3 linked regions of the Arabidopsis thaliana genome follow. The protein of the gene in region 2 interacts with the protein of the main gene of each other region in a pairwise test. Each region holds a gene or a part of one and is shown on either strand. Other genes may lie near its edges.

Region 1 (7,737 bases), 680 kb from region 2:
TACACTAAGAATACTTACAACAACTGTGGCAAAAGGTGCCCGAGAAAATCCATTTCCAAGTCTATTGACGATTTCTGTTTCCATGTCCTTCTTATTAACAAATACACGCACTATAACTGCAATTCCAACTCCTGCTTCTATAAGGAGCTGAGAAAGAGAAAGATTTATTGATTACTGGTAAGCAAAAAGTGAGCTTGAGAAAAGGCATATCAGGAGAATATACGTACCCAGAGAAGACTGACAGCCATCAGCGATATAAAAGTCATATAATTCTTGCGACCAACACAATTGTTAAGCCACTGTTGCATTTAAATACAGCTATGTCATTTGATCACACCCATAAAACTCTAGTCAATCAACTCCAAGAAACAGTTAATTATCATAACAGTAAGAAATTTACCCGGCAATGATGATCGAAACAATCTACACATTTGTCGCAACTTCGACAATGCTTGCTAAACTTACGGACCTGTCACAAAACCAAGGTGAACAAAGGATTTAGTAGTTGCTTCTTACTCTTCAAGCATAAACCAATATTAACACATTACCTCAGCATTGCACAACGTGCAAAACAGAGCTTCTTCCCTATCCCCTTGCTGCTCATCCGTCTCTTCTTTGCTACGACAATCTTCATAAACAAACACGCCACAGCATATTGCCAACGGATTAAAGCAAGATTTTCTTTTAGCAGCTTCCACTCTTTGAGCATCTCCAACAGAACCTTTCACACTAGAGTTTGGTAAAGTAGAAGTCCTGGAAGCAACCGAAGGGGAAGACTGCAGGTGGCTGCCCGTTTCATCAAATTTTCTCGAGATATCTTTGGCAGTAGGTAAGTCACCACCTCTACTCGCACCTCTTTCGAATTTCGACATGATTCCTGGATCAGCAGGATTGATTGCAGTACAACGAACATAAAGAACGAAAACAATAAGAGCCTGCAAAACAAACACATGACACAAGAAGCAAAAGGGTATCAGATATGCAAAACTACCATGTACCTACCTAGCTCTTATCAATTCCTTATCATTCTCTAAAGCGATTCTAGTACATACCACAGGAGAGTAAACACCGAGAAGAATATACTCCCAGATGCGTCCTCCAACAAAAGGAGCGAAAAACGCATAGTATGCTACACTCAATAAGCAGAACACCGTAATCGCAACCACCTGTTTCATGACCAAACGAAACAAATGAACTAAAACCCAAATGTTAGAAATTGGAGAAAATCAGAGAAAGGTTGAAATAAAAGACCTGAAATTTGTGAGCAGGAAGTTGCCAACCATGTTTCCTCACCATTTTTGCTTCCTCCCAAAGCTTGAACACACTCACGAATCACAAAATCTAAACGAAACCCTAACGCCGCCGCAAATCGTAAAAAGAGACAATTTTGCTTGCAGTTTTGCGAAACCCAGAAGGATATAAGAGAAACCAAGCTGAGAAAATATCTTCTTGGTCTTCGTATCTCTCCCTATCTAACTAACTATGGTAGGTCAGTCATAGTCAAGTGACGAAAGAGGAAAGTAAACTCCTGTAATATATTAAATTGAAAATAAAAGAAAAATAACGAATGTGAAATTAGAGATGACCTAAGCGAATTCAAAGTTAGCAAATTTAGAGTCGAATAGCGAAGAAAAAGCTTACTGTGTAGCCATGGCGGAGACCAAAGTAACTGGAGAAGGAAGAAGAGAGAGAGAAATGGAAGAAGGAATAAAAGAGAGAATTTTTAGAAGAAAGAAAAAAGACAAAATAGAAAAGCGTTGACAGGCTAAAAGAGCGAGACGGACAAATGAAAGTGGTTACTGGTTACTATTAGTACCAACGCTGGATTTTTAGCTTACGTGTCTATTTCACCTCTTTGATATTTTCTTTTTTTCCGTAGCAAATTTTAATTATTTTTAAATTATATAACCATTATTAATGATAATATGGTAGCTTAAAGTATTAATTAAATAATATAATTTTTATATAATATTAAAAAGTTCTCAGTAATACTTAAATATATATATATTAGAAAGTTATTTAATGTCTAAATTTCAGATTTTTAGAAGAATTTAGCCAAATTAAATCAAATATTAAAAGATTTTGCTGTTTAAAAAGGAATTAAATCAAAAAATATTAAATGAATTAAAAACAATTATCTTCCACTCCACATAAAAAAAAAGATATGTGAGTAGAAAAGAAAAAAAATATTAAAAGATAAGATGCAAACCCTGCATTTGTAACTCCATAACTAAATCTAAAAGCAAGTGACTCAGAGCACAACTCTCGTACAATTTGCCCTACAGTTTTATTTATATTTGGTGGCAAATGTCAGCTCTGTTTTGATGTGAAAGCCATCAACATCATGTAATTGATTAGCATATTACATATAGAATATGAGATACCCACATATATATAGAAAAAATGACGGTAAAGATTAAAAAAAAAAGTATACTTGATTTGTCATAATAAGAATAAGCATGTATCTCATATGTACAAAAATAGATTTAATGTTATTTATTTTAATATTCTTGTATTTTTTGTTTTATTTGAACTTATAATAAAAAAAAAACTGTAGATATTAATAGTTATGTAAAAATCATAAAAATAGATGTAAAAATCATATTAAAAGTTATGATAAATTTAGTTTACTACATAACTCTTTTGAAAAATGTGGAAAAATTATAGTAAACTGTATGAAAAGAAGATTATCATACAGTTAAAATTAAAATCTTTTAGAACATGTGTAGTGGTGGTTTCTAACCAAAGTTTTTAATTTACTAAAGTAATAATAATAAAAAAAATATTTAATTTGAAGAGTTTTTTAAAATAGTTTTTTCAAATCTTTTAAATTAAAAACTTTCTCATATTTTCTTAGAAATTGTTTTAATTAAAAAAATATTGTTTATTATTTTATTATTATTAATGTAGGCGAGAGATTTTGGTAAAAAATCACAATGCTGATGCTTTTAAAATAATCAATTTTTCTAAGAATACATAAATCAGCAATGCTTCTCACACGCCAAACGTAAATATAGACGCGATTATGAAAAAAAATCGCGTCGAAAACAAACGTCATTATGTCATTACACGTGTTACCAATCAAAAAGCCTTTATGTTTAATTAGTAAAGGCTAGTAAGAGATTTACAACAAATGAAAAAAATAAAAATAAAAACATAATCCAAGATCCCTAAAAATTCCCAAAAAGAACCCTAGATTTTCTCCTCTCACGCTCCTTGGTTCCTCACTCGCTTTTGCTTCCCCACTCGCCTGCTTCGTGTTCTTCTTTGCTTTGCTCTTTTCACGTCAGAATTTTGCCTTCCCTCCCTTTGTCTCTCTCTGGGTGGCCGAGAAAATACAGTAAAAAGCCCTCACCAATCCAAAAGTTTGACATTTCCTGAATTTTGTAGTCTCTTCATTTGAATTCTCAGGTTTTCTCTTAAGATACATTAAAGTCTCTGTCTTTTATGCTGATACTAATGAAAGTTCAGTTCTTTCACTGAAATTTTAGAACCAGAACTTTTCTACTACTAGAAGTATGTTGTCTCTGACTCTCTTAGTTTGAGTTCTCAGGTCTCCTTCTCTTATTTGTGTGAAATTTTACTCTTTTTTGGCTTTAGAAACAGAACTTTTCTACTATTAGAAGTTATGTTGTTGAAAGTTCTTCACTTTCATTTGATTCCATTGATTTCATATTGCTTTGTGTGTTTCAAGTTTGATGTTTTTAGGTAGAAGATGTCGCGCTGGTTCTTATGAAGTTTGGTTGTGACATTTTTCAGGTGCTAAGGTGGATTATCTAGTAGAAAGATTTCAGTTTCCAATTTCATGGAAGCCCATAGTGGGGTAGTTGCTTTTGAGTGTGTTAGTGAATCCATATGTGGCTAAGGTTAGGATGGATTTGCAAGAGAATCTGGTTAGTGATGCAGGGGATGACCATATGGTTGACATTGTAGTTGAACCGCATAGTAACAGAGATATAGGAATTGTTGATGAGTTCAATATAGGTGGAGATGTTGGATTTAGTGGTGATCTGGATCTTGAGCCACGAAATGGTATAGACTTTGATACCCATGAGGCAGCGTATATCTTTTATCAGGAATATGCAAAATCTATGGGTTTTACTACGTCGATTAAAAACAGTAGACGTTCCAAGAAAACTAAAGACTTCATTGATGCTAAGTTTGCTTGTTCCAGATATGGTGTGACTCCTGAGTCTGAGAGTAGTGGTAGTAGTAGTCGAAGGTCAACTGTGAAAAAAACAGATTGCAAGGCTAGTATGCATGTGAAGAGAAGACCAGATGGGAAATGGATCATTCATGAGTTTGTAAAGGATCACAATCACGAACTTTTACCTGCCCTTGCTTATCATTTCCGGATTCAGAGGAATGTCAAGTTAGCTGAGAAGAATAATATCGACATTCTGCATGCGGTTAGTGAACGGACCAAAAAAATGTATGTTGAAATGTCGAGACAATCTGGCGGATATAAGAATATCGGGTCTCTTCTTCAGACCGATGTCAGCAGTCAGGTTGATAAGGGTAGGTATCTAGCTTTGGAAGAAGGAGATTCTCAAGTACTGCTTGAGTACTTCAAGCGTATCAAGAAAGAAAACCCTAAATTCTTTTATGCTATAGACCTGAACGAGGACCAACGTTTAAGAAATCTGTTTTGGGCTGATGCCAAGAGCAGAGATGACTATTTGAGTTTCAATGATGTTGTATCCTTTGATACTACTTATGTCAAGTTTAACGATAAGTTGCCACTAGCTTTATTTATTGGGGTGAACCATCACTCCCAACCTATGTTACTAGGCTGTGCATTGGTTGCTGATGAGTCTATGGAGACTTTTGTGTGGCTGATAAAAACATGGCTACGAGCAATGGGTGGTCGAGCTCCTAAAGTTATACTCACTGACCAAGATAAATTCTTGATGTCTGCTGTTTCAGAGCTCCTACCAAACACTCGTCATTGCTTTGCGTTATGGCATGTTTTAGAAAAGATTCCTGAATATTTCTCACATGTGATGAAACGGCACGAGAATTTCTTACTGAAATTCAACAAATGCATTTTCAGATCTTGGACAGATGATGAGTTTGATATGAGGTGGTGGAAAATGGTCAGCCAGTTTGGACTTGAGAATGATGAATGGCTGCTATGGTTGCATGAACATCGCCAAAAGTGGGTGCCCACATTTATGAGCGATGTGTTTCTGGCAGGCATGTCGACATCTCAACGTTCAGAAAGTGTGAACTCTTTCTTCGATAAGTACATCCATAAGAAAATCACGCTGAAAGAGTTCTTGAGGCAATACGGTGTGATTCTGCAGAATAGGTACGAAGAGGAATCTGTTGCAGATTTCGATACTTGCCACAAGCAACCTGCATTGAAGTCCCCCTCGCCCTGGGAGAAGCAAATGGCAACAACTTACACCCACACAATATTTAAGAAATTTCAAGTCGAGGTCTTGGGGGTTGTCGCTTGCCATCCTAGAAAGGAAAAAGAAGATGAAAATATGGCGACGTTTAGAGTTCAAGACTGTGAAAAAGACGATGACTTTCTTGTAACGTGGAGCAAAACTAAGTCAGAACTTTGCTGCTTCTGTCGTATGTTTGAATACAAAGGGTTTCTTTGTCGGCATGCTTTGATGATTCTGCAGATGTGTGGTTTCGCCAGCATCCCGCCTCAGTATATATTGAAAAGGTGGACAAAAGATGCTAAGAGTGGAGTATTAGCTGGTGAAGGAGCAGACCAGATACAGACCCGAGTTCAGCGCTATAACGATTTGTGTAGTCGAGCCACTGAATTGAGTGAGGAAGGTTGTGTGTCAGAAGAAAACTACAACATCGCATTGCGCACACTAGTCGAGACCCTGAAAAATTGTGTTGATATGAATAATGCTAGAAACAACATCACTGAGTCTAATAGCCAGCTTAATAATGGTACTCACGAAGAAGAAAACCAGGTAATGGCTGGGGTAAAAGCAACAAAAAAGAAGACTGTATATAGGAAAAGAAAGGTATGCTTTTACTGAAGCTTCTCGCCAATCTAAACCTACGTACATTTTCTTAGCTTCAAAGGTTAAAAAGAAGATACTCAAATTGATCTTATGCAGGGACAACAAGAGGCTAGCCAAATGCTTGAATCTCAACAGAGCTTGCAACCAATGGTTTGTGCTTTGATTTGATCTTCTCTAATTAGTTTGATCATTGTAACTGCACATTGCTTTATGAGATTAAGAGTAGGATGTCTTGGATATATGGCCTTATAGTTTTAACATTTTGTGCAGGAAACTATAAGTTCAGAGGCGATGGACATGAATGGTTACTATGGTCCTCAACAGAACGTTCAAGGACTGGTATGCTATGTTAGTTGATTAATACAAACCTGGTTAAGCCATTCGACATCTATTATAAACCCTAATACTAAACCTGTTTAAACTGTGGATATAGTTAAATTTAATGGAGCCACCTCATGAAGGCTACTATGTAGATCAACGAACCATCCAAGGCCTGGTAGGTTACATATAGTTTAAATGCTTGAATCTCCCAAATCTGTGCTAGAGTATAAGTCAACGACATGAATTTTGGTTCTTTTGACTCTTCAGGGACAACTGAATTCGATAGCACCGGCGCAGGATAGCTTCTTCACGAATCAGCAAGCCATGTCTGGGATGGTGGTACATTATAAAATCCTTCAAACTGATTTTAAAAACTGTGTTATGAATGATCGTGTTGTTAACATCTTTTGTTTATTGTCCGGTCCAGGGTCAAATCGATTTCAGACCTCCTCCCAATTTCACTTACACTTTACAGGTCTCAGCTGCCTGGATAAAGTCTTTACTTTAGTATCATTTTGTACTCGAACCACACGTGTTGATATCGTTAAATCTTTTCGTTATTCCAGGAAGAGCATTTGAGTTCTGCCCAATTACCTGGTAGTTCATCAAGGCAGCTATAGTAGCAACACGTTTTGATTACTTTGGAGAGAAGTTTTGTCTCAGGAAACATTTGCAAGAAGCTGTTCCAAACATGAGAAAAACACAAGATCTTTCATGGAGCTGAGTTGCAATGACAAGATGTAATCTTTTCTTAAATTGGTTTCTGTATATTATGGGATTGCCTTATGATGTATTAATGTGGGATGAAATATTGTGTTATCTGATTGAATGTCTTGAGATTTAATAGATGCACTTGTAACAACATCTTTATCTAAACACATAGAAATCTATCCTCTGTGTATTAGTCAAACAAGTAATTTTGAGATCACATTAAATCAAAATTGTTAAAACAGGTTTCAACTTATTTAGTAGAAACAAAAAGTTATTTTTAGATTAAATGTGGTTAATTTGGTTAAATACACATTCCCTGGTCGTTGTCGTATGTAGGTGTGTCCCTTTTGACAAAACAAACAAACAGAAAAGGTTTCTTTATTCAGACAACATCAAAACTGGGGAAGAACCAAAACTAATAGAGTTGGTCAAAAGAAACATTTGCAAAAAAAAAAAAAGAGAGGCAAAGATCTCGAGAGATTTCAATTTTCAATGGAGAAAGTGAATCAAACCTTCTTCTTATCTCATGGATCTCCAACTTTGAGCATAGATGATTCCTTGGAAGCGAGACAATTCTTCAAATCATGGACTCAAAAAGTTCTTCCTCAAAAACCCAAATCGATTTTAGTCATCTCTGCTCATTGGGACACCAAATTCCCATCTGTCAACACTGTTCTTCGCAATAACACGATCCACGATTTCTCTGGCT
Region 2 (6,475 bases):
TCAGCTTTAATTATAGTATAAATCTAACAAATGTTTTAATATTTAATAGAAGCACAAATCGTATGTATATGAAATTTATTTCAGATTAATACAATGATATGTACTAGGCCGTCTGTTGCTATTCTCTATCAACATTTGTTTTTCTTTTGGTCTTTGACAAAAAAAAAAAAAAAAAATGCTCTATCCGTAGATTTTGAGTTTTAAGCTTAAACAATTGTTTATAGACACGCTTATCTCACTCGGAAGCTCAGCCATTAACTTTTTATTGAAACATATAACGGCAAAATAGTGGTATATATTTCGAAAAAAAATCATGAAATCTAATAGAACATGTAGCAGTAAACAAATTTTTTTAATTATTTATGTATAAAATAAAATAATTATTGGAATATAACATTAAAAGGGTAGAACCTGTATTTTCTTCAATAAAGCAAAATCATAGACAATTGCTAACATTTTTTATATGTCTATTCTATTTTATATTAACGTACGAAAGTAAAATGTGAAATGTTTTGAGATCGAGAATGCTATTTTTATGAAAACAAATAACGAAATTGGAAAAATGAATTAGTAAACCAGATAAAGTCATATGTTGTCACTTGTTTTTTTTTTTGTTTTTTTTTAATGTTGTCACTTGTCATCATTTTATATTATGTTTTTTATGTCCTATCTATAAATGATAGAAAATAGAGATATTATTTAATAAACAAAACCTCCTTAAATATTTGTTTTTGAGATGATGTATTTAGGAATGTCGTATAATAGCGCCAACTTGCTAATTTATATTGAGTATTAGTTTTTAAATTATGAGACAGTGACCAAAGCAATTTTTTTATGAAAAGTTCTAATATAATTGTAGCCTTTTTTCATTAGATGTCTGGTATACATGGTTAAAAATGTCTTCACGGTGACCATCAGTGATTAAAGCCCATACTAAGACATACATTTACTATTAAAATATGTTAGAGATCAAATTGGATCAAATTAATTTACATGAAACTGGAATAGGTTAAAAATAAAAATAAGAAAGAAATACTTTTTTCCTCTGATTTTTTTGGTCAACTGCTTTTTTTTTTCCTCTTAAGCCTTTTTATAAATTTTATTTTGTCGTTAACATTTTGTTTCCATAAATCAAATAATAATTCTTTTCGTAAAACGACCCAACAGTCATCTCAAAGGACAAAATGTGCATCATCTCAAATTAGAATACGAAGCTTCCAATTCGACCCTTATCTTACCTGTTTGATTCATTGTTAAACATGTTTAATGAACTATATTATATTAAAAAAAGAAACTTATATCTTGATTAGTTACTTAAATTTAGTCTCAAAATCTAAATTGACAATATAAAAAATTGGAGTAACTAAAGATGAAGCAAGAGATGAGTATATGCGTCGGAAAAAGTGTTCTTGCAAGGAATTGTATCCATTGTAACAGTGACTAACATGAACGAACAGAATAATTTATGGGTGAATCCGATTAATTTAAAAAGTTAAGAGACCACATCAGCAAGTTATTACAATATTGTAAAATAAAGAAGCAGACATAAACTGATGTTCTAGAGAGGAAAAGAAGACAACCCATGACTTCCGCATTAGTTGGATTCAATTAGAGGCCAAAACTTGAAGCTAATCATTGTATTTGGATGATAATATTAATAATTATGGGCTCACTAATTATAAGCATTTGTGGTGATTATCTGTGCTAAACTATACGTGGTTTACAAATTAAATTTTATTCTCCAATTAGATAAATGTTATCATGAAATATCGTTTCAATAATGTTTTCTTGGTATCACATCGCTCCAATAATTAGTCCCGTACAACTGTAATTAAGAAGTTTAATAATTACTATTCAGTATGTATTCAGACGTACATATATATATATATAGATATATTTTTTGTAATTTGCATTTCACAGCGGATCACTAAATATACATTAAACATTTGTGTATTCATCTATATATATTACTATAATATAATAGTGAAAATTTATGTTTTTTGAGATGGAATCTAGCAAAGAAAAGTCCTATACTGTATGGTCCAAAGTCATATTCCTAGGTTTCGCCTTAAAAACTCTAAAGATAACTAAACAGACGAGAATAATAAATTAAACACAGTTAGAATCGTTTGTTTATTGAAAAAAAAAAGCTTAAAGAATGCTTAAAGATTAAGGTTCTTACAAGAAATATATATATCTTAGTAAGGGAAACCAAATTTACATATAAAAAAAATATAAAAAAAATTGGTACTTCTTTTTCTTGCTATGACTTTGAATATACTACAGATTTAATGTTCTAAGTTTAATTAACAAGATATTGAACATTAAACCACATCCTTTTTATTTTTCGTGTACTGTATATACATATATATTGAATATATATCTCTTATTAACAAGATATAACAATAATGTAATATTAGTACAACCATCAAATTGAAAAGCAAATTTCGTATTTATACAATATGAAAAAACTAGAAGAACTTTTAAATATTTAAAGTGACCAAATGAAAACAACGTTGGTATCCAACAACAACATCATTCGTAAAATTTAAATATAAAACCCTATACCAAAAAAAAAACAATATATGGCTATATATAACACCTAAATGAGTTAGGGCTAAGCTGTCACGTTTGGATTGATAAGTTATAAGAAAAAGCGAACGTAAAATGGAGGCCACGAACAAGTCGCAAGATAAGAAAAAATAAAGGTCAAATTATTGTTTATGAAAGAAAAAAATACAAAATATTAACAATAATATTGTTTAACCAAAAGTGTTTGTGAGACTCTTTAATTCTCTAGTTTACATATGAACAAATTAAGCTTGGCAGAGCGTAGATCTGAGTCAGATGATAATGTTTTTTTCGGACAATAAAGTTAGGTTCCTTAAATTTTCTAATATTATCTCCACATGATCACACCAATACACACACAACACTCCTTAATTCTCGTATATATAAACATTTATTCTCCACCTATTTTGTCAAAATTAAGAACAGGCTTCATTCTCTGGACAAACACTCAAAAAACAAACAAAAAAAGGAACATGGAAGATCAGTTTCCTAAAATAGAAACTAGCTTCATGCACGACAAGCTCTTGTCTTCTGGAATCTACGGGTTCTTGAGTTCTTCGACGCCGCCACAACTTCTCGGTGTTCCAATATTTTTGGAAGGTATGAAATCTCCTCTTCTTCCTGCTTCTTCGACTCCGAGCTACTTTGTGTCGCCTCATGATCATGAGCTCACATCTTCTATTCATCCATCTCCGGTAGCTTCTGTTCCTTGGAACTTTCTAGAATCTTTTCCTCAGTCTCAACATCCTGATCATCATCCTTCTAAACCTCCAAACCTTACTTTGTTCCTTAAAGAACCAAAGCTACTAGAACTTTCTCAATCCGAAAGCAACATGAGCCCTTACCATAAATACATCCCAAACTCCTTTTATCAATCAGACCAAAACAGAAACGAATGGGTAGAGATCAATAAAACTCTAACCAACTATCCCTCGAAAGGTTTTGGAAACTATTGGCTAAGTACCACCAAGACTCAACCCATGAAGTCAAAAACAAGAAAGGTTGTTCAGACGACGACCCCAACAAAACTGTATAGAGGAGTGAGACAAAGACACTGGGGCAAATGGGTCGCAGAGATTAGGCTTCCAAGGAACAGAACCCGTGTTTGGCTCGGCACTTTTGAAACCGCTGAGCAAGCAGCAATGGCTTACGATACAGCAGCTTATATCCTTCGTGGCGAATTCGCACACCTCAACTTTCCTGATCTTAAACACCAGCTCAAGTCCGGTTCTTTGCGATGCATGATCGCCTCACTTTTGGAGTCCAAGATTCAACAGATCTCATCTTCCCAAGTAAGTAACTCTCCTTCTCCTCCTCCTCCAAAAGTGGGAACACCGGAGCAAAAGAATCATCACATGAAGATGGAGTCAGGAGAAGACGTGATGATGAAGAAACAGAAAAGCCATAAGGAAGTGATGGAAGGAGATGGTGTACAATTGAGTAGGATGCCTTCTTTGGATATGGATCTCATTTGGGATGCTCTCTCATTTCCTCATTCTTCTTGACTTCAAATTAATATTTGTCAAACTTATTTTACTTACTTCTACCCTTTTTTATATCAAAAGTTTCCACCAAAGAAAGAAATTCATATTATGATGCCAAGATTGGTTTGCATTTGGGGTTGAACACATTGTAATTCTTCTTACGACCACATAATCAAGTGGTTCTCCTTTTTTTGTCTGCTAATTAATTGTTCTTTTCTTTGCGGTTACTAGTAACCATAAAATAGAAAAGTGTTTGTTTTCTAATGAGAAAATATTATAATTCTGTTGCACCAACTCCAACTTTAAAAGTCCAATGTTAGAATATTTCCTACATTCTATACTAAAGCTCAAAGGTCAATAGAGAATATGAATAGTAATAGGGCAGAGAAGCGTTAAAGGGCAAATATGAATTTAGATTATCTTTTCTTTTGTCAACAACTACAATATGAGTTTCTACAACCAAATAAAAAGTTGATTATATAACTTTAGAAATAATTATGTCATTTTTAGCTTCAATTGTATTTCCGAATATGCAAACAAAAGTGAAAAATCTAAAGTTTTGGCACAGAAATAGAAAGAGGACAAGTATCACTTATTTGGAAAGAGAAGAAACTTAAACTTTTTACCGACCACAAAAGCGTCAATTTTTGTTTCGAAACGACGCCGTTTAGAGTACAAAGTACAATACTCTCCCGGCAATAACCAACATTAGAGTTTTGGCAGAGATTGTTACAAAACTACACTTGCTCATGTTTTCACTAGGCGTATAATCGTGTCGTGTTATTTCGAGTAAGTACATACCTTGCAGTTCAAGCACTATGCAGGTCCAGTGGCATAGACATAGCCTTTACCTGCAAAAACACCATTTGAAACCATACAAGATTCAGCCACTTGGTAAGCAAAAAACCATGGAAGATTTAACTACCAAGAACTGTGAAACAAAGAGAGCACTCTTAGCAATTTTTCAACCCTCATATCAAAGCACACAACGATGAAACTCACCATTGTGGATGAAGGGCTAGAAGAGTCAAGATGTCCAGATCTTCTAGCCTCCCAAAACCGGCTTGTTTTATCTCCACAACGCTGTACCTGCGATTTGCTCTGATCTTTGGAAGAAAAACTGATCTTCTCTCTTCCCTTTTGTACAGCTCTTAACCGACCTCTCAGCAACCCAACTTCACTCTCTATTTTCAGTCTTTCATAGTCAATAGCTGACATTGAATTTCTTCGCATATTGGTAGACATGTTACTTTTCCCTTGTGGAAATGCATAACTTGTATCTGAAACACTTTGTGATCTGTCCAGTTTCAGATCCTGAGTGGCATGGTCAGAAGGAACATTCAGTTGCCCCTTGTTATCTTCATCAGTCACTACATGGATGTCATGTACATGACAATCAATGTCGTGAGGGTCCTCACAAAGCTTCTTAGAAACAGCAATGTCGCTAGTTCTTGATACTAGTTCTGCATATAAAGTTTCACCTTCCTCTCTTTCTTTCAGTTCTATATCACTCAGGGCATCAAATGGCTCACTTCTTGACTGATCACACTCAGTATTGTCCATCTGATTAGTGAAGATCTCAAATCCAGAAGAGACATTCACAGTCTCCATGTCATCCCATGGTTCAGTAATCTGTTGCGGCGTCTGCAATCTTTCGATTTGAGCTGGTTTAGAATCTGGAGTATTGTGAGGTTGCTCAGTCTCAAGAAACATTTGCCTGTAGGTATCAACTTCCTTCTCCAGAAAATGTTTCTCCCTCTCCCTCCTAAGCAAAATTTCTTTAAGAATACTCATCTCTTCCGCATCAAAAGCAGACTTTTCTTCTATCATCCGCTGATATTGCCTAGCTTCCATCTCTATCGACGCCTTTTCTTCTTGCAACCGTAATATCATACCTAAAGCCTCATCTGCAGCAGATGCAGCAGCATTTCTCTCTTTCTCAAGTTCAAGAGCTAACGAAGCACGTGCAGCTCGTTCTTCCCCAAGCACTTGTTCTGACATCTCAACCGTCCTCTGTACCATACCAGGGGAACTGCATGCACCCTCTCCCACTCCACACCCAACAGAACTTAGTGAAACACTTTTCCGCAACGACACATCCTCCAATGCTTTTCCACTATCTACAATGTTACAACTTGCATCAAAATCAACATTCACTATCCAATATAATTGAATAAAGACAACAAAAAAACTTACCATTGGAGTTCACAAGAAGAGGATCATTTTCATCATATGATCCCTCAAAGCTCTTAAGGCCTAAACAACTTTGGTAATGGTTCTTGAAACCATACGGCGACCTATGGAAGCTAAGCCGCTTACTCTTAACTTTAAAGCTTCCTTTTTTCAAACTTTGCGCAGTTAAAAGATCGAACCCTGAAGCCTTATTCTCAAACTTTCCAACAGAAGGAGTAGTACTAGAT
Region 3 (6,506 bases), on a different chromosome or scaffold from region 2:
TCCATTGGTGTGATTCAGATACATGGCGGAGCAGAGTTGCATAAAACAATTATGTGATATCCTAGTATATTCAGATGAAAGAACCACCATCTTAAAGTGTCTGGATGGATTGGAAAACATGTTGAAGGCCGGAGAGGCTGAAAAGAACAGTGAAGACGTGAACCCTTATTGTCTACTGATTGAAGATGCGGAAGGGCTAGAAAAGATTTCGAAGCTGCAAATGAACAAAAACGATGATATCTACGAGAAGGCTTATAAGATTCTGGTGACGAATTGGTTTGAAGAGGATGATGAGAACAACAACAACAACGTCCGATGTGATGATGTGGACTTTCAGGTGTGAGAGAACCAAAGTTCCAGTTCCTTATATGGAAGATCCCAACACAATTATTTGTTATAGTGAAAAAAAAACATCTTACATGGGACCAAAGGCTTTGCACCTTTGTTGTCTCAGGGCTTTACTTGGTCTTTAATTGAATGTACAAAGTTGATGTAAAAGCTTTGGCTCCATCGTTCATGGAGTCTAGTACATTGTTTTGGGTTTTAAAAGTTTTCTGTGTTAAAGCTCGTCGTCTAATTGATGTTGTGTTTGGTTTTAGTTGAAAGGTTTAGACGTTTAGTAAAAAAGTTACTCAAATTCTTGAAATCTCCTTGGCCTTGCTGATTATAAAATCAAATATTCATTTATAAAATTATGCGAAAGGGTCTAATTATTTTTGAAACCGAATCGAATGAAGACAACTCCATTTTGATTGATTTTTTTTTTGTTGTATTAAAGAATAAAAAACTCGACTGGTTCAACAAGACTGGATTGTCTTTAAACTACTGGTTCAATGTATTTTGGGTACATAATGAAAAAAATACACAATCCGCCTTGGCCACGTATCCATCTTTGGCTTAGTTGATGATGATAATACTTTTGTTTTTTGGTAAGGCTGATGATGATAATAGTTAGAAGAAGTTCATAGAATAATCCAATGGATTTCCAATAATAAAACACAGAAATAAATATAATCCAAACAATTGCCAAAAATAATGAATAAGAAAAGGGACCCACACCAAAAGCTAAAAGCGCGTGGGTCAGATTACAAAAAGCGAAACCCCAAACCGTGGCTAGACAGCGGACGAACCCGTCCCTTCAAACGTGGCTCACCTTTCGAACCACAGAGAGCAGTTTACACTCCAACTGTCAAAAACGTGTTCCCATGACGTCATCCTCAACGTATCTTTATCACTTTTTAAAACTAAAGACTGTTTTGTCTTTTTCTAAATCGTCCCCTTTCTCCGAACACCATACTTAAATTCAATAAAATAATAAATATCAAAACTGAACCATCGAATCGGAACCAGCCACAGTACACAATACACTTAGACGAAGTAAAGTGATTCAGAAGGACACGTGTAAGTCACATACCGTGGGACACTTGTCGTTACCAGATCCTCCGTGTTTCTCACTTTTCTTATAAAATAAAAACACAACACTTCTTCACTTTCTGTAATAAAAATATCTCCAAAAGTTCCAACACCTGAAAACATAAAAAGATAGAAAGAGAAATAAAACATCTTATCCAAAGAAAAAATGAATCCATTTTACTCTACATTCCCAGACTCGTTTCTCTCAATCTCCGATCATAGATCTCCGGTTTCAGACAGTAGTGAGTGTTCACCAAAGTTAGCTTCAAGTTGTCCAAAGAAACGAGCTGGGAGGAAGAAGTTTCGTGAGACACGTCATCCGATTTACAGAGGAGTTCGTCAGAGGAATTCTGGTAAATGGGTTTGTGAAGTTAGAGAGCCTAATAAGAAATCTAGGATTTGGTTAGGTACTTTTCCGACGGTTGAAATGGCTGCTCGTGCTCATGATGTTGCTGCTTTAGCTCTTCGTGGTCGCTCTGCTTGTCTCAATTTCGCTGATTCTGCTTGGCGGCTTCGTATTCCTGAGACTACTTGTCCTAAGGAGATTCAGAAAGCTGCGTCTGAAGCTGCAATGGCGTTTCAGAATGAGACTACGACGGAGGGATCTAAAACTGCGGCGGAGGCAGAGGAGGCGGCAGGGGAGGGGGTGAGGGAGGGGGAGAGGAGGGCGGAGGAGCAGAATGGTGGTGTGTTTTATATGGATGATGAGGCGCTTTTGGGGATGCCCAACTTTTTTGAGAATATGGCGGAGGGGATGCTTTTGCCGCCGCCGGAAGTTGGCTGGAATCATAACGACTTTGACGGAGTGGGTGACGTGTCACTCTGGAGTTTTGACGAGTAATTTTTTGGCTCTTTTTCTGGATAATAAGTTAGTTTAGGGATTATTTGGACATCTAGGATTGGTCCGGAGTTCCGTACCTGTATTTTTTGTTTGGTACCAAATCTTTAGTAATAAATCGTCTATCATTTATTCTTGTTAGAATGTTCTTTGTTTGTTTTTGGTAAACAGATTTGATCAAATTAGAGCTATAGAATTTGAAAATTTTGTTTTGTTGTATCTGAAACTGTAAATAGATTTCTCTTTGTTTCGTTGATGTATTGACAATCTTTACCAAATTTCCAGAGCTTATAAAAGCTTGAAACCTCTGCTTTTCCAAATATAATCCTGATTCACATTATCATATATTCCTTGTAGACTCAGCAAAAAAAATTAAAACTATAAAATCTCTTACACATTAGTCCAAACACGTGAATGAGTAATAGAGGTCCTTGACCATTAGACTGATATAGCTTCTATATTGTGGTTCTTAAAAAAGGTAGAATATTTATATGTGGCCTCAAGCTTCTCATGAGTCACGCCTTATGGTAATCATCTATCTTTTTTCTTCTAAGCAAACACTGAACACTTGGAAATCTTTTCACTAGAAAAACATGTCCCTGGCCCTCACTAACTTTACATGTCCTTTTCTTTCAGTTATAGAAGTGTGGGGTTTCTTGGCTCGCTAGATTTAAAAACCCTTCATTATGTATAGGGTTGTGCTTGTGCCTAGAACCCTTCATTCCAAGGCAAAAGCATAAACCTACAATCCGGTCTAAATCAGAACCGATTTAAACCGAGAGAAAACACTAAAGTAATTTTGTAAAATAGAGCCATCATAGGGATAAAATAGTAACTAAACAATAGACGTCAAGCTGACGCGACTGGTGTTCACTTTCTCTTTCTCTTCTACTACTTCTGTCCTCTCCACGAAGATCCAAAGCTTATAAACACATACAAATAAATCCACTCCAAAGTTTTTCTCTTTTTTCTCTGCATTATTATCACTTCACCACATTCACAACAATCCCAAATTTTTCTTTCTCATACTTTCATATTTTGATTACTACTTCTCAGAGATTCTTTTGGTAATTAGGGTTTCCTCCAATTTTGCAGCTTGATTTATCTATATACCAATCGGAAAAATCCTTACTTTTAAGTTCGGTCTTGTGTTAATTTGCGTCTGTTGTTATTGTAATCTAGAGAAAGAGAGTGAGAGGCAATAAAAAAAGCTATGGATTTCGATTTGAACGGAGGAAACAAACGAGTCTTCAACAGACTCGGTGGCGGTGGCGGGTCAACTCGTCCGATGGCACCAACGGATACAAGACAAAAGGTTTGTTTCCACTGGCGAGCCGGGCGTTGTAATCGTTCTCCTTGTCCTTATCTACATCGGGAATTACCGGGTCCTGGTCCGGGTCAAGGTCAAGGCCCGGGTTATACGAACAAAAGGGTCGCTGAGGAATCTGGTTTCGCGGGTCCGAGTCATCGGAGAGGACCTGGGTTTAATGGGAACTCGAGTAGTAGTTGGGGGAGATTTGGTGGGAACAGAACGGTGACGAAGACTGAGAAAGTTTGCAACTTTTGGGTAGATGGGAATTGCACATACGGTGATAAGTGTAGATACTTGCATTGTTGGAGTAAAGGAGAGAGCTTTGCGTTGTTGACTCAGCTTGATGGTCATGAGAAGCTTGTTAGTGGTATTGCTTTGCCTTCTGGTTCTGATAAGCTTTACACTGGAAGTAAAGATGAGACCTTGCGTGTTTGGGATTGTGCTTCTGGACAGGTATGGTTTGCTCAAAGGACCTTAAGCTTTCCTCAGTGATAGAATTGTTTGGTTAGGATATAGAGTGGCTTTAGAGAATGCAGTTGTTGTCCATGGATGTTATTGTTGTCCTCTCTAGCTAGAAAACCATGTTTGATGAATAGTTATAACTGCTTGGTTAAGATTTAGAGTGACACAAGAGACTGCAATTTGTCATAAGTAGAGTAGTGAGCACTGATATATCGATGGAAATTGGTGTCTTTGTTGTCAAATTAGGAAAGGAAGTGTCTAATTCGCTGATGCTGATTGTATTTGAGGAATGCATTTTCTGATCTTGTGAAAGACTGTTTCAAGTTTACTTATCGTGGATATTGTTCTTTTCTCTTTTGATTAGTGTACAGGAGTACTCAAACTTGGTGGGGAAATTGGCTGTGTGCTTAGTGAAGGCCCGTGGCTATTAGTTGGCATGCCAAACCTTGTCAAGGCAAGTATTCAGTATGATTCCTCTTAACAGTACTTTTCTTTGACTGTCACAATAGATATCGAGGAACCCTTTTCATTCTTAGATGCTTATGGGGTTATGTCTCATTGTTGTTGATACAGGCGTGGAATATTGAAACCAATGCTGACCAGAGTCTAAGTGGACCTGTTGGCCAAGTCTATTCTCTTGTTGTGGGTACTGATCTGCTCTTTGCTGGAACACAGGTAAATTTCCAAGTTTTCTTTTCTTGCTGAGATCTCTGCGAAATAGTCGGCTTTTGGTTATATAAGTGACAAGTTCTTTACATTCTGTGCAGGATGGCTCTATTTTGGCATGGAGATATAATGCTGCCACTAACTGTTTTGAACCATCAGCGTCACTGACGGGCCATACACTTGCAGTTGTTACCTTATATGTTGGGGCGAACAGACTTTATTCGGGTTCCATGGACAAAACTATAAAAGTAAGTACTAGTATTATCTATTATATTTGAATTGAAAACTCTCACTATTTTTTTCTTTCTTTGAGCTAATCTTTTTGGTTTATATGTTTTTTGTTTGATAGGTTTGGAGTTTGGATAATCTACAGTGTATACAAACACTCACTGATCATTCATCAGTTGTGATGTCTCTCATTTGCTGGGATCAATTCCTTTTGTCTTGTTCATTGGACAACACGGTTAAGGTTAGTTCGTCTTTCTTTAACTTTCATAAATTTCTTAAGTTTCATTCTTTCTCTTGTTAATGTGTTTTTCCGCTGTAGATATGGGCTGCAATCGAAGGTGGCAATTTGGAAGTAACATATACTCACAAAGAAGAACATGTATGGTTTCTTTTATAAATGTGTTACCTTCTCTTATGGTCCTAATCTATATGTTATGTGACTAAGAAATTTTGGCAATGTTTAAACTGGATTCAGGGAGTGCTAGCTCTATGTGGTGTACATGATGCAGAAGCCAAGCCTGTTTTGTTATGCGCTTGCAATGACAACACCTTGCGCCTCTACGACTTACCATCGTAAGACTTTCAACGTTTATGTATGAATTCTTCATCTCTTTCTCTCTTATTGGTTCTGATAGCTTAGGTTTGTTCATTAGATTTACGGAGAGGGGAAAAATCTTTGCAAAGCAAGAGATACGGGCGATCCAGATAGGTCCCGGGGGCATATTTTTCACGGGTGACGGAACTGGTCAAGTTAAAGTATGGAAATGGTGCACTGAACCAACCGCGGCTTTGCCTTGAGAAAGTTTGATGCTATCGTCAAAGAGATGTTTTCTACGATTTTCTTGTACCATTATATATGAGTCTATTTTGGAGACTTTTCTTTCTTGTTGAGGTCCTCCTAGTAGAAGCCACGGTCTGATGAAATGGACAGTGGCCAAGATCGTGTCATGTTAGGAGTTTTGAGACAGAATCGGGAGAATTTAGGTCCCTTTTTGTCCAATTTCAGCATTTGTCTTGTAACGCTTGGATTGTATTGGTCAATTTATCATAAAGGATTATCTTATTCAAGAGAGATTCAGAGTTGATATACAATGGATAACAAAGTTACAGAAGCTTCCTTATTATGAAACCTTAATATGTTCTTAGAAAAGCAAAGATTGTTTTCAGAGATTGAACATAACTTTGATGGCATTGCTCCCACGAGCACTGGTTTCAAAGGCATCTTCCACTTCCTTTTGAGAGAAACCGAATCTGTGGGTTATGAGTGGCTTTACATCAATCTTACCACTTGTCAGGAACTCAAGACACAATGGCCATGTGTTCTTGTACCTGAACACACCCACCACATCTACCTCCCTGTCTCCAAACCAACACATTTACTTGGTTATTATGTGATTGTACTTTTCAAAAGTTAGAAAGTTTCTTACTATGATGGTCAAAGGAGGTTACCTTGCAGCTGCAGGAGTGAGAGGGACAGTCATTATACCGTGACCCATTCCGACAAGACAGACTTTACCGCCACAACGAGTGGCTGCTAATGCTGTCGACATGGTTTTGTTAAAACCCGCACAGTCGAATGTTACATCG

What was found.
Region 1: the proteins of AT4G13620 (region 2) and FAR1 interact in a two-hybrid assay, tested with the Arabidopsis thaliana proteins (one large-scale study listed by BioGRID).
Region 3: the proteins of AT4G13620 (region 2) and AT5G51980 interact in a two-hybrid assay, tested with the Arabidopsis thaliana proteins (one large-scale study listed by BioGRID).

The regions. Positions count from the first base shown.
Region 1 is NC_003075.7:8,610,934-8,618,670, forward strand, and holds FAR1 (FRS (FAR1 Related Sequences) transcription factor family), read left to right. Parts: upstream 1-3,126; 5' UTR 3,127-3,340; exon of another isoform or gene 3,341-3,759; 5' UTR 3,760-3,872; coding exon 3,873-5,996; intron 5,997-6,092; coding exon 6,093-6,146; intron 6,147-6,266; coding exon 6,267-6,335; intron 6,336-6,429; coding exon 6,430-6,492; intron 6,493-6,584; coding exon 6,585-6,656; intron 6,657-6,744; coding exon 6,745-6,792; intron 6,793-6,883; coding exon 6,884-6,937; 3' UTR 6,938-7,237; downstream 7,238-7,737. Other genes in the region: AT4G15080 (DHHC-type zinc finger family protein), read right to left, coding at 19-147, 228-299, 401-469, 549-935, 1,053-1,166, 1,252-1,296; catalytic LigB subunit of aromatic ring-opening dioxygenase family, read left to right, coding at 7,521-7,737. UniProt on the Arabidopsis thaliana protein: Transcription activator that recognizes and binds to the DNA consensus sequence 5'-CACGCGC-3'. Activates the expression of FHY1 and FHL involved in light responses. Positive regulator of chlorophyll biosynthesis via the activation of HEMB1 gene expression.
Region 2 is NC_003075.7:7,929,229-7,935,703, forward strand, and holds AT4G13620 (Integrase-type DNA-binding superfamily protein), read left to right. Parts: upstream 1-2,902; 5' UTR 2,903-2,909; coding exon 2,910-4,076; 3' UTR 4,077-4,351; downstream 4,352-6,475. Other genes in the region: AT4G13630 (zein-binding protein (Protein of unknown function, DUF593)), read right to left, coding at 4,865-4,906, 5,058-6,175, 6,252-6,475.
Region 3 is NC_003076.8:21,112,861-21,119,366, reverse strand, and holds AT5G51980 (Transducin/WD40 repeat-like superfamily protein), read left to right. Parts: upstream 1-3,169; 5' UTR 3,170-3,318; exon of another isoform or gene 3,319-3,433; 5' UTR 3,434-3,464; coding exon 3,465-4,016; intron 4,017-4,389; coding exon 4,390-4,479; intron 4,480-4,598; coding exon 4,599-4,700; intron 4,701-4,792; coding exon 4,793-4,939; intron 4,940-5,040; coding exon 5,041-5,160; intron 5,161-5,238; coding exon 5,239-5,298; intron 5,299-5,394; coding exon 5,395-5,492; intron 5,493-5,572; coding exon 5,573-5,717; 3' UTR 5,718-6,006; downstream 6,007-6,506. Other genes in the region: IMPA-8 (importin alpha), read left to right, coding at 19-343; CBF4 (C-repeat-binding factor 4), read left to right, coding at 1,580-2,254; AT5G51970 (GroES-like zinc-binding alcohol dehydrogenase family protein), read right to left, coding at 6,083-6,275, 6,369-6,506.